3 linked regions of the Xenopus tropicalis genome follow. The protein of the gene in region 3 interacts with the protein of the main gene of each other region in a biochemical or structural test. Links are inferred from orthologs where the notes say so. Each region holds a gene or a part of one and is shown on either strand. Other genes may lie near its edges.

The links. The genes of interacting proteins can lie anywhere in the genome.
Region 1: the proteins of sumo2 (region 3) and slx4 form a complex in vitro, tested with the Homo sapiens proteins (3 studies listed by BioGRID). The link is inferred for Xenopus tropicalis from reciprocal best matches to the Homo sapiens genes SUMO2 and SLX4.
Region 2: the proteins of sumo2 (region 3) and numa1 form a complex in vitro, tested with the Homo sapiens proteins (2 studies listed by BioGRID). The link is inferred for Xenopus tropicalis from reciprocal best matches to the Homo sapiens genes SUMO2 and NUMA1.

What each region holds. Positions count from the first base shown.
Region 1 is NC_030685.2:20,676,116-20,680,179, reverse strand, and holds the start of slx4 (structure-specific endonuclease subunit SLX4), read right to left. Parts: upstream 2,801-4,064; 5' UTR 2,694-2,800; intron 192-2,693; 5' UTR 65-191; coding exon 1-64. UniProt on the Homo sapiens protein: Regulatory subunit that interacts with and increases the activity of different structure-specific endonucleases.
Region 2 is NC_030678.2:178,840,561-178,844,836, reverse strand, and holds the start of numa1 (nuclear mitotic apparatus protein 1), read right to left. Parts: upstream 2,801-4,276; 5' UTR 2,709-2,800; intron 2,703-2,708; exon of another isoform or gene 2,617-2,702; intron 1-2,616. Other genes in the region: short transient receptor potential channel 2, read left to right, coding at 3,041-3,120. UniProt on the Homo sapiens protein: Microtubule (MT)-binding protein that plays a role in the formation and maintenance of the spindle poles and the alignement and the segregation of chromosomes during mitotic cell division.
Region 3 is NC_030686.2:44,411,019-44,415,200, reverse strand, and holds the start of sumo2 (small ubiquitin-related modifier 2 precursor), read right to left. Parts: upstream 2,801-4,182; 5' UTR 2,791-2,800; coding exon 2,770-2,790; intron 2,060-2,769; exon of another isoform or gene 1,823-2,059; intron 1,476-1,822; exon of another isoform or gene 618-1,475; intron 16-617; coding exon 1-15. UniProt on the Homo sapiens protein: Ubiquitin-like protein that can be covalently attached to proteins as a monomer or as a lysine-linked polymer.

The DNA.
Region 1 (4,064 bases), on a different chromosome or scaffold from region 3:
TCTTTTTCACTCTTTTAAGGAGTTTGGAGCAGAGTTCAGTGAATTCATCATCAGACTCAACCATTAGTGCGCCGTTAAAAGAACAAGGTGACAGGCAAGACTGTCAGGGCATCCAGGGTACCAAATTGGGTGCCTGTGGTCTTCATACTCATTTCACCTCTTCATAGTATTTCCCGGGTATCCAGTGAGTGCTAAAAAGATAGATAAGACAATAAAATTATTTTAGATTTATCAACCTCAATACGGATCAAGGCAAGACTTTTTATAGTGGGAGTAACACCAATACATCATGATCCCCTTTAATTTCAGGGAAACAAAGTATAGTATCCCTGGTTTAAAGCATCCCAGAAATCTAGATTATAGCTGCATGTTTCTTGGCTGATCCACTGTTTACTGAATTAATATATTTAACACTGCATATAAACTTGAAGGCTTCTAACTTTCAGAACAACCATAAATAGGTGTAAGAATGTTGTATAAGGCCTGCAGGCTGAGCCATCATTGGAAGGTCAGTTGTACAGTATGGTACACAATAGGAATAATGTCACAATTAAACAACTATTTGCAAAGTTCTGGCACTAGATGGCAGCATTAGGAGAATTACAAATTCTACAAATAAGAGCAGCATTCAGTTATATTTATTCATTCCCTATATTTATATATAGTGCCAACACAGTTCCACAGCGCTTTACAGACATATAGGTCATTCCAATCAGTATATGTAGCTGACAAAACCCACACCAACACTAGCCAATAATTTAGAAGCGACTGCTCCAACATGCACAGTTGTATTGGTGCTATTTTAGTATAAACAATTATGGTTTACCATATACCATACAGGCCTATAAAATGCTGAGGTCAGTTGAGGCTGCAATACTTCTACTCATTAGGGCTAAAGCATGGGGATCGTATGTTTAACGTTCCGTTGGGCCCTGGAGGAGGCTGGGAGCCAACCCACAAGACCCCGGGCAGCATTGTTAGATGGGAAAGCAGGCCCGCTGTGGCCCTCCAACACTGTCCAATAACAACAAAAATCTTTTAGTATAATAAGGCTATATTAGATAGATATAAGAGATATTTGGCCCATTATATGGAAAATGTTTGAAGAATGGCCTGGGTCCTAAAAGGGCTCCACTGGCACAAATAACTGTAACCTTTAAAGGGGAACTGCGGCTTCTGAACCAACATTTTTTTGAAGAGCCCCACACAACACACCTAATATACCTATCATTGTAATCTGTTCCTTTAAAAGGTATGAATAAATACCATTTTATATGCTGAAATCCAGATGCACAACAGTTTATTTTCTTTCTGCATGACTGAAATCCTGGCAGGGGAGGAGGGACTAAAACATCAACGTTACAAATTGGAACAGCATCCCTACAGTTTACAGACAGCAAGCAGGAACTACATAACCCACAATGCATTGCACTCTGATGTTTCTTCCCTTATTAAAGGAGACATATAGGATAAATGAGAAAAACCCTAATTTTGTAGGCAATTATGAATAATATACGGTGCTGGTTTCCCTTTGGGCTAAACATTAATCCTCTCTGTAACAATGGCCCCTTTATTGGAGCTCCCTATAGATCCTCTGGCTTCTCTGTCCAGTGTGAAATGAAGAGTGGGCATGTCCTAACGGTCCCTGCCAGAAGCACAGTAGGAGGGGGAGAGCCAATCACAGCCCTGCACTCCCACAAGCACAGACAGACTTCAGTTCCCTATCAGGTCAGCCTAGCTGCTGATTGGTTCCTATCCTGCAGTGCAGTGTACGGAGGGCCGCCGGTTCCCCAGCTCATCCAGAGAATTCAGCCAGCAGGAAGTGGAACAGATGGGCGGGGCTAGTGGGGTTTTTGTGGAATTTCTCAATAAATCAGTCTGAAACACAACATTTTTAAGCACAATCCTTCTATATCTAGAGGAGTATAATTCACTGGTACATTCTTAATGTTTATAGGATATGTCTCCTTTAATATAATGTGTGCAATTTGGAGGATGCAGGCTCAGGACAGTCTCAATGTAATCAGCCAGCTGAGCAGAACAAGGGGCCCGGCTTAGGTAACTGTTTAAAACCATATTTTCTAATTGATGTATATTGCAAAGTTGCCTAAAATGATGTTTACTATTCGCAAAGTTGTGTTTGGGTGGAGTTCCCCTTTAATGACTAGAAGGGGCCAATTCACTATCCCATAAAGATGGCACGGTGACAAATGGAATGAAGGGATTCAGAAAAATAAGGGATAGGGGTCATAACACAGAGGGCCCTTGCCCTTTAGCTCCTAACTACACATATTCTAACATAATATATAACACTTATCAGCATTTCTGTTCAGTCACTAACTCTGAGCAGAATTCCCAGCAGTGCAGTAAAGTAACCCCCATGCTACCTGTACCATATTGATCAGCTGTTGCTTAGTTACTGCACTGAGGCAATGCTGACCGTACATAGTGAATGAGCCCCAGTCTCTCTGTCTAGTTACAGTGAAAATAATCCTTGTGTACGAACTAACGTGATTACCCAACCATATAACACATGTCAATCATTCTCATGTCAAAAGCCCTACAGGGCCACCTAGCTGGCTACTGAATGTGCCGCTGCAGGTTACTGGGCCCCATTCCTACAGCGGAGCTGCCAGCCCGCACCCTAAGCAGGATTCCATCATTCATTCACTGCAGCCATAGGGCTCACTCACCTCAGTAACACAGCTTCACACAAGCCGCCCCGGAATTGGCGCGTCATGACGTCAACACGCTTCCGCCCAGCTGTGACCGTGGCACGACGTCTCCACAGTAACAGAAGGAACTACCGGAACTCGGCTGACGCATGAGGCGCCACGCCGGAAGTGTTGGGGATTGTAAATAAAGCGCGTCTATAGTAATGTGTAAAGTTTAGGTTTTAGGCAGCTGTTTGTAGCTCAGCTGAAGCAGTGGCATGAAATAAAAAATAAATATAAATGTTTATTGAAAAGTTGCCTAGAATCACGTTTCCTTTCATATGCAAAAAAAACTCAAAAGACTTTGTGCGGAGTCCCCCCTTTAGCACATACACAGGGTTACCATTATTGTTACAACCAGTGTGGGCTGTCACTGTGCCAATAGGTTAATGTCCCTGCGCCCTCCCTACTCATTCCTAAGGGCGGCCTAACCCCCCCTTAACTCCAACACACTCCTACAGCTGGTGTGTTTTTGGTACAGAAACCCTACTATAGTTTATATAAATACCCCGCTGTGTAGCCCCAGGGGCAGCCATTCCTGCACTGGTACAGCTGGGGTGTTTGCTACAGAAACCCTACTATAGTTTGTATAAATACCCCGCTGTGTAGCCCCGGGGGCAGCCATTCCTGCACTGGTACAGCTGGGGTGTTTGCTACAGAAACCCTACTATAGTTTATATAAATACCCCGCTGTGTAGCCCCGGGGGCAGCCATTCCTGCACTGGTACAGCTGGGGTGTTTGCTACAGAAACCCTACTATAGTTTATATAAATACCCCGCTGTGTAGCCCCAGGGGCAGCCATTCCTGCACTGGTACAGCTGGGGTGTTTGCTACAGAAACCCTACTATAGTTTATATAAATATCCCGCTGTGTAGCCCCAGGGGCAGCCATTCCTGCACTGGTACAGCTGGGGTGTTTGCTACAGAAACCCTACTATAGTTTGTATAAATACCCCGCTGTGTAGCCCCGGGGGCAGCCATTCCTGCACTGGTACAGCTGGGGTGTTTGCTACAGAAACCCTACTATAGTTTATATAAATACCCCGCTGTGTAGCCCCGGGGGCAGCCATTCCTGCACTGGTACAGCTGGGGTGTTTGCTACAGAAACCCTACTATAGTTTGTATAAATACCCCGCTGTGTAGCCCCGGGGGCAGCCATTCCTGCACTGGTACAGCTGGGGTGTTTGCTACAGAAACCCTACTATAGTTTATATAAATACCCCGCTGTGTAGCCCTGAGGGCAGCCATTCCTGCACTGGTACAGCTGGGGTGTTTGCTACAGAAACCCTACTATAGTTTGTATAAATACCCCGCTGTGTAGCCCCGGGGGCAGCCATTCCTGCACTGGTA
Region 2 (4,276 bases), on a different chromosome or scaffold from region 3:
CACTCAGCCCCCCCGGTACTAACCACTCCAGCCATAGCCCGGTACTAACCACTCAGCCCCCGGTACTAACACACAGCCCCCCCCCCCGGTACTACACTTCAGCCCCCCCCACAGCGGTACTGACACTCAGCCCCCCGGTACTAACACTCAGCCCCCCCCGGTACTCTAACTCACCCCCCCCCGGTCTAAACTCGGCCCCCCCCCCGGTACTACACATCAGCCCCCGGTACTAACACTCAGCCCCCCCGTACTAACACTCAGGCCCCCCCGGTACTTAACACACAGCCCCCCGGTACTAACACACAGCCCCCGGTACTAACACACAGCCCCCCCCGGTACTAAACACTCAGCCCCCGGTACTAACACACAGCCCCCCCGTAGCTACACTCAGCCCCCCCCCCCGTATAACACTCAGCCCCCCCCCCCGGTACTAACACACACCCCCGCGTACTAACACACAAGCCCCCCCGGTACTAACACACAGCCCCCCCCGGTACTAACACACAGCCCCCCCCCGGTACTAACAAATCAGCCCCCCCCCGGTACTAACACTCAGGCCCCTCCCCCCCCGGTACTAAACTCAGCCCCCCCCCGGTAAAACTATAACACTCGCCCCCCCCCCCCGGTATAACCACTCAGCCCCCCCCCGGTACTAACACTCAGCCCCCCCCGGTACTAACACTCAGCCGCCCCCGTACTAACACTCAGCCCCCCCCCCCCCGGGTCTAAACACTCAGCCCCCCCGGTACTTAACACTCAGCCCCCGGTATAACACACAGCCCCCCCCGGTACTATACACTCAGCCCCCCCCGTACTCAACACTCAGGCCCCCCCCGGTACTAACACTCCACCCCCCCCCGGTATAAACACTCAGCCCCCCCCCCCCGGTACTAACACTCAGCCTCCCCCCCGGTACTAAACACAGCCCCCCCCCGGTACTAACACTCAGCCCCCCCCCCCGGTACTAACACTCAGCCCCCCCGGTACTTAACACTCAGCCCCCCCCCCCCCCGGTACTAACACTCGCCCCCCCGGTAAACCTCGCCCCCCGGTACTAACACTTCAGCCGCCCCCCCGGTACTAACACTCAGCCCCCCCCACCCGTACTAACACTCAGCCCCCCCGGTACTAACACTCAGCCCTCCCCGGTACTAACTCAGCCCCCGGTACTAACACTCAGCCCCCCCCGGTACTAACTAACATCAGCCCCCCCCCCCCGGTACTAACGACTCAAGCCCCGGTACTAACACTTCAGCCCCCCCCCCCGGTACTAACACTCAGCCCCCCCCCCCCGGGTACTAACACTCAGCTAACACTCAGCCCCCCGGTACTACACTCAGCCCCCCCCCCGGTACTAACACTCAGCCCCCCCCCGGTACTTTAACACTCAGCCCGCCCCCCGGTACTAACACTCAGCCCCCCCCGGTACTAACACTCAGCCCCCCCCCCGGTACTACGGTATAACACTCAGCCCCCCCCCCCCCGGCCCCCCACTCCATCCTCCCAACCCGGAAACCACCTCCCCCCCCGGTACTAACACTCAGCCCCCCGGTACTAAACATCAGCCCCCCCCGGTACTAACACTCACCCCGGTACTAACCTCAGCCCTCCCCGGTACTAACACTCAGCCCCCCCCCCCCCACTCAGCCGGCCGGTACTAACACTCAGCCCCCCCACCCCCGGTACTAACACTCAGCCCCCTAACACTCAGCCCCCCCCCCCCGGTACTAACACTCAGCCCCCCCCCCGGTCAGCCCCCCCCCCGGTACTACACTCAGCCCCCCCCCCCGGCACACCCTCAGCCCCCCCCGGTACTAACACACAGCCCCCCCGGTACTAACACACAGCCCCCCGGTACTAACACACAGCCCCCCCGGTACTAACACACAGCCCCCCCCGGTACTAACACACAGCCCCCCCCGGTACTAACACAACAGCCCCCCCGGTACTAACACTCAGCCCCCCCGGTACTAACACACAGCCCCCCCGAGGTACTAACACACAGCCCCCCTGCGTACTAACACACAGCCCCCGGGTACTAACACACAGCCCCCCCGGTACTAACACACAGCCCCCCCGGTACTAACACACAGCCCCCCCCGGTAACTAACACACAGCCCCCCGGTACTAACACTCAGCCCCCCCCCCCCGCCGGTACTAACACTCAGCCCCCCCCCCCCCCGGTACTAACACTCAGCCCCCCCCCCCGGTACTAACACTCAGCCCCCCCCCCCGGTACTAACACTCAGCCCCCCCCCCCGGTTACTAACACTCAGCCCCCCGGTACTAACACTCAGCCCCCGGTACTAACACACAGCCCCCCCCCCCCGGTACTAACACTCAGCCCCCCCCCCCCGGTACTAACACTCAGCCCCCCCCCCCGGTACTAACACTCAGCCCCCCCGGTACTAACACTCAGCCCCCCCCGGTACTAACACTCAGCCCCCCCGGTACTAACACACAGCCCCCCCGGTACTAACACACAGCCCCCCCGGTACTAACACTCAGCCCCCCCGGTACTAACACTCAGCCCCCCCGGTACTAACACTCAGCCCCCCCGGTACTAACACTCAGCCCCCCCCCCGGTACTAACACTCAGCCCCCCCGGTGACTCACCCGCTCCCGGTGCCACAGGTTCCCTCCCCGCCGAGATATCAAAATAGAATTTCTACCTACGAAGGATTCAAACCCAAGCGCCGCCCACTGACCTGTCCGCCATTGGCTGCCGTATCACTGCGCGGCCGCGTCCGAACACGCGTGATGTCACTGACACGCATTTGCGTGCCACGCCTCTATTTACAGAACCCATAATAAAAGTTTAGCGGCCCGATAGGGTGTGGGCGGGGCATAGTGACCGGAGGCTGGGAGGGGCTAAAACCAGAAATGTACAATTTGAGCGAGAAAGCTAAGTCTGTTCTAAGGGAACTACAACTCTCAGCACTTTACTAGAGCTTTCCAATTGGTAGCTGATTCTGGGAATTGTAGTTCCGAGCGCTATTACCTGACTGGCCCCTCCCACTGACTGGGGCGGCTTCCTTACATGACGTCATTGCAGGGCGGAGCGGTGCGGGCCAAAAACGCGGGAAATTCGGGGATTCAGGAGGTTGGAGTCCGGGGTCTGTGAGTGTTTCTATGGTAACGGGGTTTGTTTTGCCTTTGCGCAGGGTGAATAGGGTGGGGCTTAGGAAATGGGGTGATGGTGGCAACTAGCGGGCGAGCAGGGGGTTCTGCGCCTGTAGGGTAACATGGGAAATGGTGCAATGATTGTGTTAGTGACACCTACTGGGGATCAGCGGAACTGACTGGCACATTATGGAGTGATTTTGTGTTACAGTGACACCTACTGGGGATCAGGGGAACTGACTGGCACATTATGGAGTGATTTTGTGTTACAGTGACACCTACTGGGGATCAGGGGAACTGACTGGCACATTATGGAGTGATTTTGTGTTACAGTGACACCTACTGGGGATCAGGGGAACTGACTGGCACATTATGGAGTGATTTTGTGTTACAGTGACACCTACTGGGGATCAGGGGAACTGACTGGCTCATTATGGAGTGATTTTGTGTTACAGTGACACCTACTGGGGATCAGGGGAACTGACTGGCACATCATGGAGTGATTTTGTGTTACAGTGACACCTACTGGGGATCAGGGGAACTGACTGGCACATTATGGAGGGATTTTGTGTTACAGTGACACCTACTGGGGATCAGGGGAACTGACTGGCACATTATGGAGGGATTTTGTGTTACAGTGACACCTACTGGGGATCAGGGGAACTGACTGGCACATTATGGAGGGATTTTGTGTTACAGTGACACCTACTGGGGATCAGGGGAACTGACTGGCACATTATGGAGGGATTTTGTGTTACAGTGACACCTACTGGGGATCAGGGGAACTGACTGGCACATTATGGAGTGATTTTGTGTTACAGTGACACCTACTGGGGATCAGGGGAACTGACTGGCTCATTATGGAGTGATTTTGTGTTACAGTGACACCTACTGGGGATCAGGGGAACTGACTGGCTCATTATGGAGTGATTTTGTGTTACAGTGACACCTACTGGGGATCAGGGGAACTGACTGGCTCATTATGGAGTGATTTTGTGTTACAGTGACACCTACTGGGGATCAGGGGAACTGACTGGCACATTATGGAGTGATTTTGTGTTACAGTGACACCTACTGGGGATCAGGGGAACTGACTGGCACATTATGGAATGATTTTGTGTTACAGTGACACCTACTGGGGATCAGCGGAACT
Region 3 (4,182 bases):
GGTCTTAACACCTTCCTAAAAGAAGTAAAAAGTGGAATGAGTGCTGGGAAGGGGCATCATGGCACAGAAACACTGGTAACGCTTGTGGTTATTCATCCCGTTGTGAGAAATGAGCTCTTTGCACCCCATTCTAGAGAATACTTTGGCACCAAATGACAAAAGAACTCTAGTTATATTAGATCTGGCCGGGGACCATGCTACATTTGGTAATGTGTTCACAACGCACAAGAAGAAAGATGGGGAGCACAGAAGTTATAAGGCTGCATGTCATTACACAAAATACACCAAATGTTCCCTTTAGAACAACAGTCACTGCTGGGAGCTACAGTTCTGGAATGTTTACTGACTGCACAGGCATTTAACTTACAACTACACTCACAAAAGCTGGTCTAGCCCCTAACCTCATCGTATATATTAGCCTTACAGTACGCTTGCCTGTGTCTCTAGGTCCCCAATTAACAGGTCCCAGTGATTAAGAGAGCAATATCACATTGAGGGCCAGTATGCAGAATAACATGGTACTGCTTCACAGTGTCACAGACCCTGAATCTAAAGACTTAATACAAGTTTAAAAGTTCTCAGAACTTTCTTTCCACTGTGCCTAATGCACCTTACCCTTCCTGCTTCTAACACGTGTTCCTCCATTACCTACACTACTTCCTCAATTCTAAAATTCCTTCCATACTAAGAATTCTCCTTCCTTAGGTCGAAGACACACAGTAGTAGCAGCTACTTGTCACAGCTACTAAAATATTCAATGCCAATCAGTTACTGATAATTCTCTGTTTTCGCAACGCTCCATACTGTCTAAGGCAGGGGATTTTCTGGTGTTTTGTAGCTGTAAAAAATTAGTTGCTGCTAGTAGCTCAGTGTGTCTTCACCCTTATGCCCCTTACTCTGCATGGAATGCCCCCAACATAACCTAGGCTTCTGGCCAGTATTAACTCTATTTAATGGCACTGAGCCCTGCATACCCATTTTCCCACCATTAAGCTCTCCCATAATACTTGCCCTTCTCACTGGCCAGAGGCTACATCTTTTCCCACTCAACATTCTTGAATTCCTCTCTCCCCAAGTTACCTCATTCCCTAAAGTCAATGCCCCCAACATACCTGGGCTCAGGGCCCCCTAAGCTCCCAATTCCCAGCCCCAGTATATGCCCCCAACATACCTGGGCTCAGGGCCCCCTAAGCTCCCAATTCCCAGCCCCAGTATATGCCCCCAACATACCTGGGCTCAGGGCCCCCTAAGCTCCCAATTCACAGCCCCAGTATATGCCCCCAACATACCTGGGCTCAGGGCCCCCTAAGCTCCCAATTCACAGCCCCAGTATATGCCCCCAACATACCTGGGCTCAGGGCCCCCTAAGCTCCCAATTCCCAGTATATGCCCCCAACATACCTGGGCTCAGGGCCCCCTAAGCTCCCAATTCCCAGTATATGCCCCCAACATACCTGGGCTCAGGGCCCCCTAAGCTCCCAATTCCCAGTATATGCCCCCAACATACCTGGGCTCAGGGCCCCCTAAGCTCCCAATTCACAGCCCCAGTATATGCCCCCAACATACCTGGGCTCAGGGCCCCCTAAGCTCCCAATTCCCAGTATATGCCCCCAACATACCTGGGCTCAGGGCCCTCTAAGCTGCCAATTCCCAGCCCCAGTATATTCCCCCCCAACATACCTGGGCTCAGGGCCCCCTAACCTCCCTATTCCCAGCCCCAGTATATGTCCCCAACATACCTAGGCTCAGAGCCCCCTAAACTGCCAATTCCCAGGCCCAGTATATTCCCCCCCCAACATACCTGGGCTCAGGGCCCCCTAACCTCCCAATTCCCAGCCCCAGTATATTCCCCCACAACATACCTGGGCTCAGGCCCCCCTAATATCCCTATTCCCAGTATAGCCAAGGTCGCCCATTCCCATTTACTTCCCATCTCCCAATACTGGCAGTGCCCAACATACCCTTCCCCAGTGCTCCCTGGTTCCTGTCCTCCCTTCCCCAGTGCTCCCTGGCTCCTGTGCTCCCTTCCCCAGTGCTCCCTGGTTCCTGTGCTCCCTGGTTCCTGTGCTCCCTTCCCCAGTGCTCCCTTCCCCAGTGCTCCCTTCCCCAGTGCTCCCTTCCCCAGTGCTCCCTTCCCCAGTGCTCCCTTCCCCAGTGCTCCCTTCCCCAGTGCTCCCTTCCCCAGTGCTCCCTTCCCCAGTGCTCCCTTCCCCAGTGCTCCCTTCCCCTGTGCTCCCTTCCCCTGTGCTCCCTTCCCCTGTGCTCCCTTCCCCTGTGCTCCCTTCCCCTGTGCTCCCTTCCCCTGTGCTCCCTTCCCCTGTGCTCCCTTCCCCTGTGCTCCCTTCCCCAGTGCTCCCTTCCCCAGTGCTCCCTGGTTCCTGTGCTCCCTTCCCCAGTGCTCCCTTCCCCTGTGCTCCCTTCCCCAGTGCTCCCTTCCCCTGTGCTCCCTTCCCCAGTGCTCCCTTCCCCAGTGCTCCCTTCCCCAGTGCTCCCTTCCCCAGTGCTCCCTGGTTCCTGTGCTCCCTTCCCCATAAACCTAGTGGGCCAATGCAGTGCAGCCTCCCATAACCAAGCCCCGCTAGTATGGGCGTCCCTCTCCCGGCTGTCTCCCTACGGGCCCCTCCCGTACCCACAGAGCCCCCGCACAGCCCGCAGGCCGCTGCCCCCTCCCTTTAGCGCCTAGGCCTCTCCCTCCTCCTGCCCCGCACCCACTGCCCCCGGCCCCAAGCCCGCTATGCGACCCTTCCCTCTCCCAGCCCGGAGCAGGACCTTGGGCTTATCGTCCGCCATTGTCAGTTCGCTCCCGGTGCCCGGTACTCTCGCTGCTGCCTCCTCCTCACAAAGAGCCTGAACTGGCGCGGGACGTGGAACGAGAGCGCGCACGTACGGAAAGGAAGATTTGGCGCACTCTCTGCGTGCGCGCCCCCGCCGCTATTTCCACTGTAGGGAAAAGCCCGCCTTGGGGAGCACGTGGCGGCGGGGGCGCGCATGGGGGGAGGGGTCTGACTCTGAGGAGAGTCAGGGTGAGGTTGGGCCGCATTGTACCCGGGATTGGCTAAATCCCTTCCAGTGACTTCATTGGCCTAGTCTCATAGAGGGGGCAGGAGCCATGATAGAAGCTTCCAGAAACAGCCCCCCCTATAATTAAGCCAAAGGAGGAAGCCATACCAGTTGCCATACCAGTTACCTTTTCACTAAAACTTTATTTTGATCAGTCCTGCACTTAAGGGCAAATGCCCATACCTGGTGCCTCTTACCTTCCAGTTTGTGCCTGTATGTTACCCAACCACTTAGATTGTAAGCTCTACGGGGCAGGGACCTCCTTCCTACTGTGTCTCATACCCCATGGCACTTACTCCCTGTGTATTTATACTTATTTATTGAAATTTATTATAACACTTGCCCTACCTGTGGGTAATTGTGTATATTGTAAGATTGTACAGTGCTGCGTATCCTTGTGGCGCTTTATAAATAAAGTTATACATACCAAAAACATAGAGAAGCTAACCATATCCAAAGCTACCAGACAAAACATAAAAATCATATCCAAACCATATCCAAAGTTACCAGACAAAACATAAAAATCATATCCAAACCATATCCAAAGTTACCAGACAAAACATAAAAATCATATCCAAACCATATCCAAAGTTACCAGACAAAACATAAAAATCATATCCAAACCATATCCAAAGTTTCCAGACAAAACATAAAAATCATGGAAGGTGGCTGCCCTTTTAGGGACATAAAATACAGCCATTTCCCAGGGTGGGACTGGACGAGCGGAACGATAGGAGAAAAACCGTCTGTTGAGGTGGTGGACCCCACACACCTCATTCCAACACTGGGATTTACTGTCTTTCTTCCCTATTTACTGTTAATAACACTGACAGCCTTCTGCTCCTCATAGTTACCCCCCCAAAAATGAAAAGGCCTAAAACCCACCCAAAATTGCCTAGGGTACAAGCAGTGCATATTGGGACATGGTTATAAGGGCATTTATTTTCTTTCATTTGGAGTTTGCTTGTAAGGTGGAGATCTGTAAACAACAAAGGGATGACAATACAAATGTCACAAGCAAAAGGGAGAAACCACAGCAAATATTTTAAATAAAGGGGAGAGTAAATTGCATATCAAAATAAATGAGTCATAAGTATTATATGAGATCAGCAGCCATTCTTC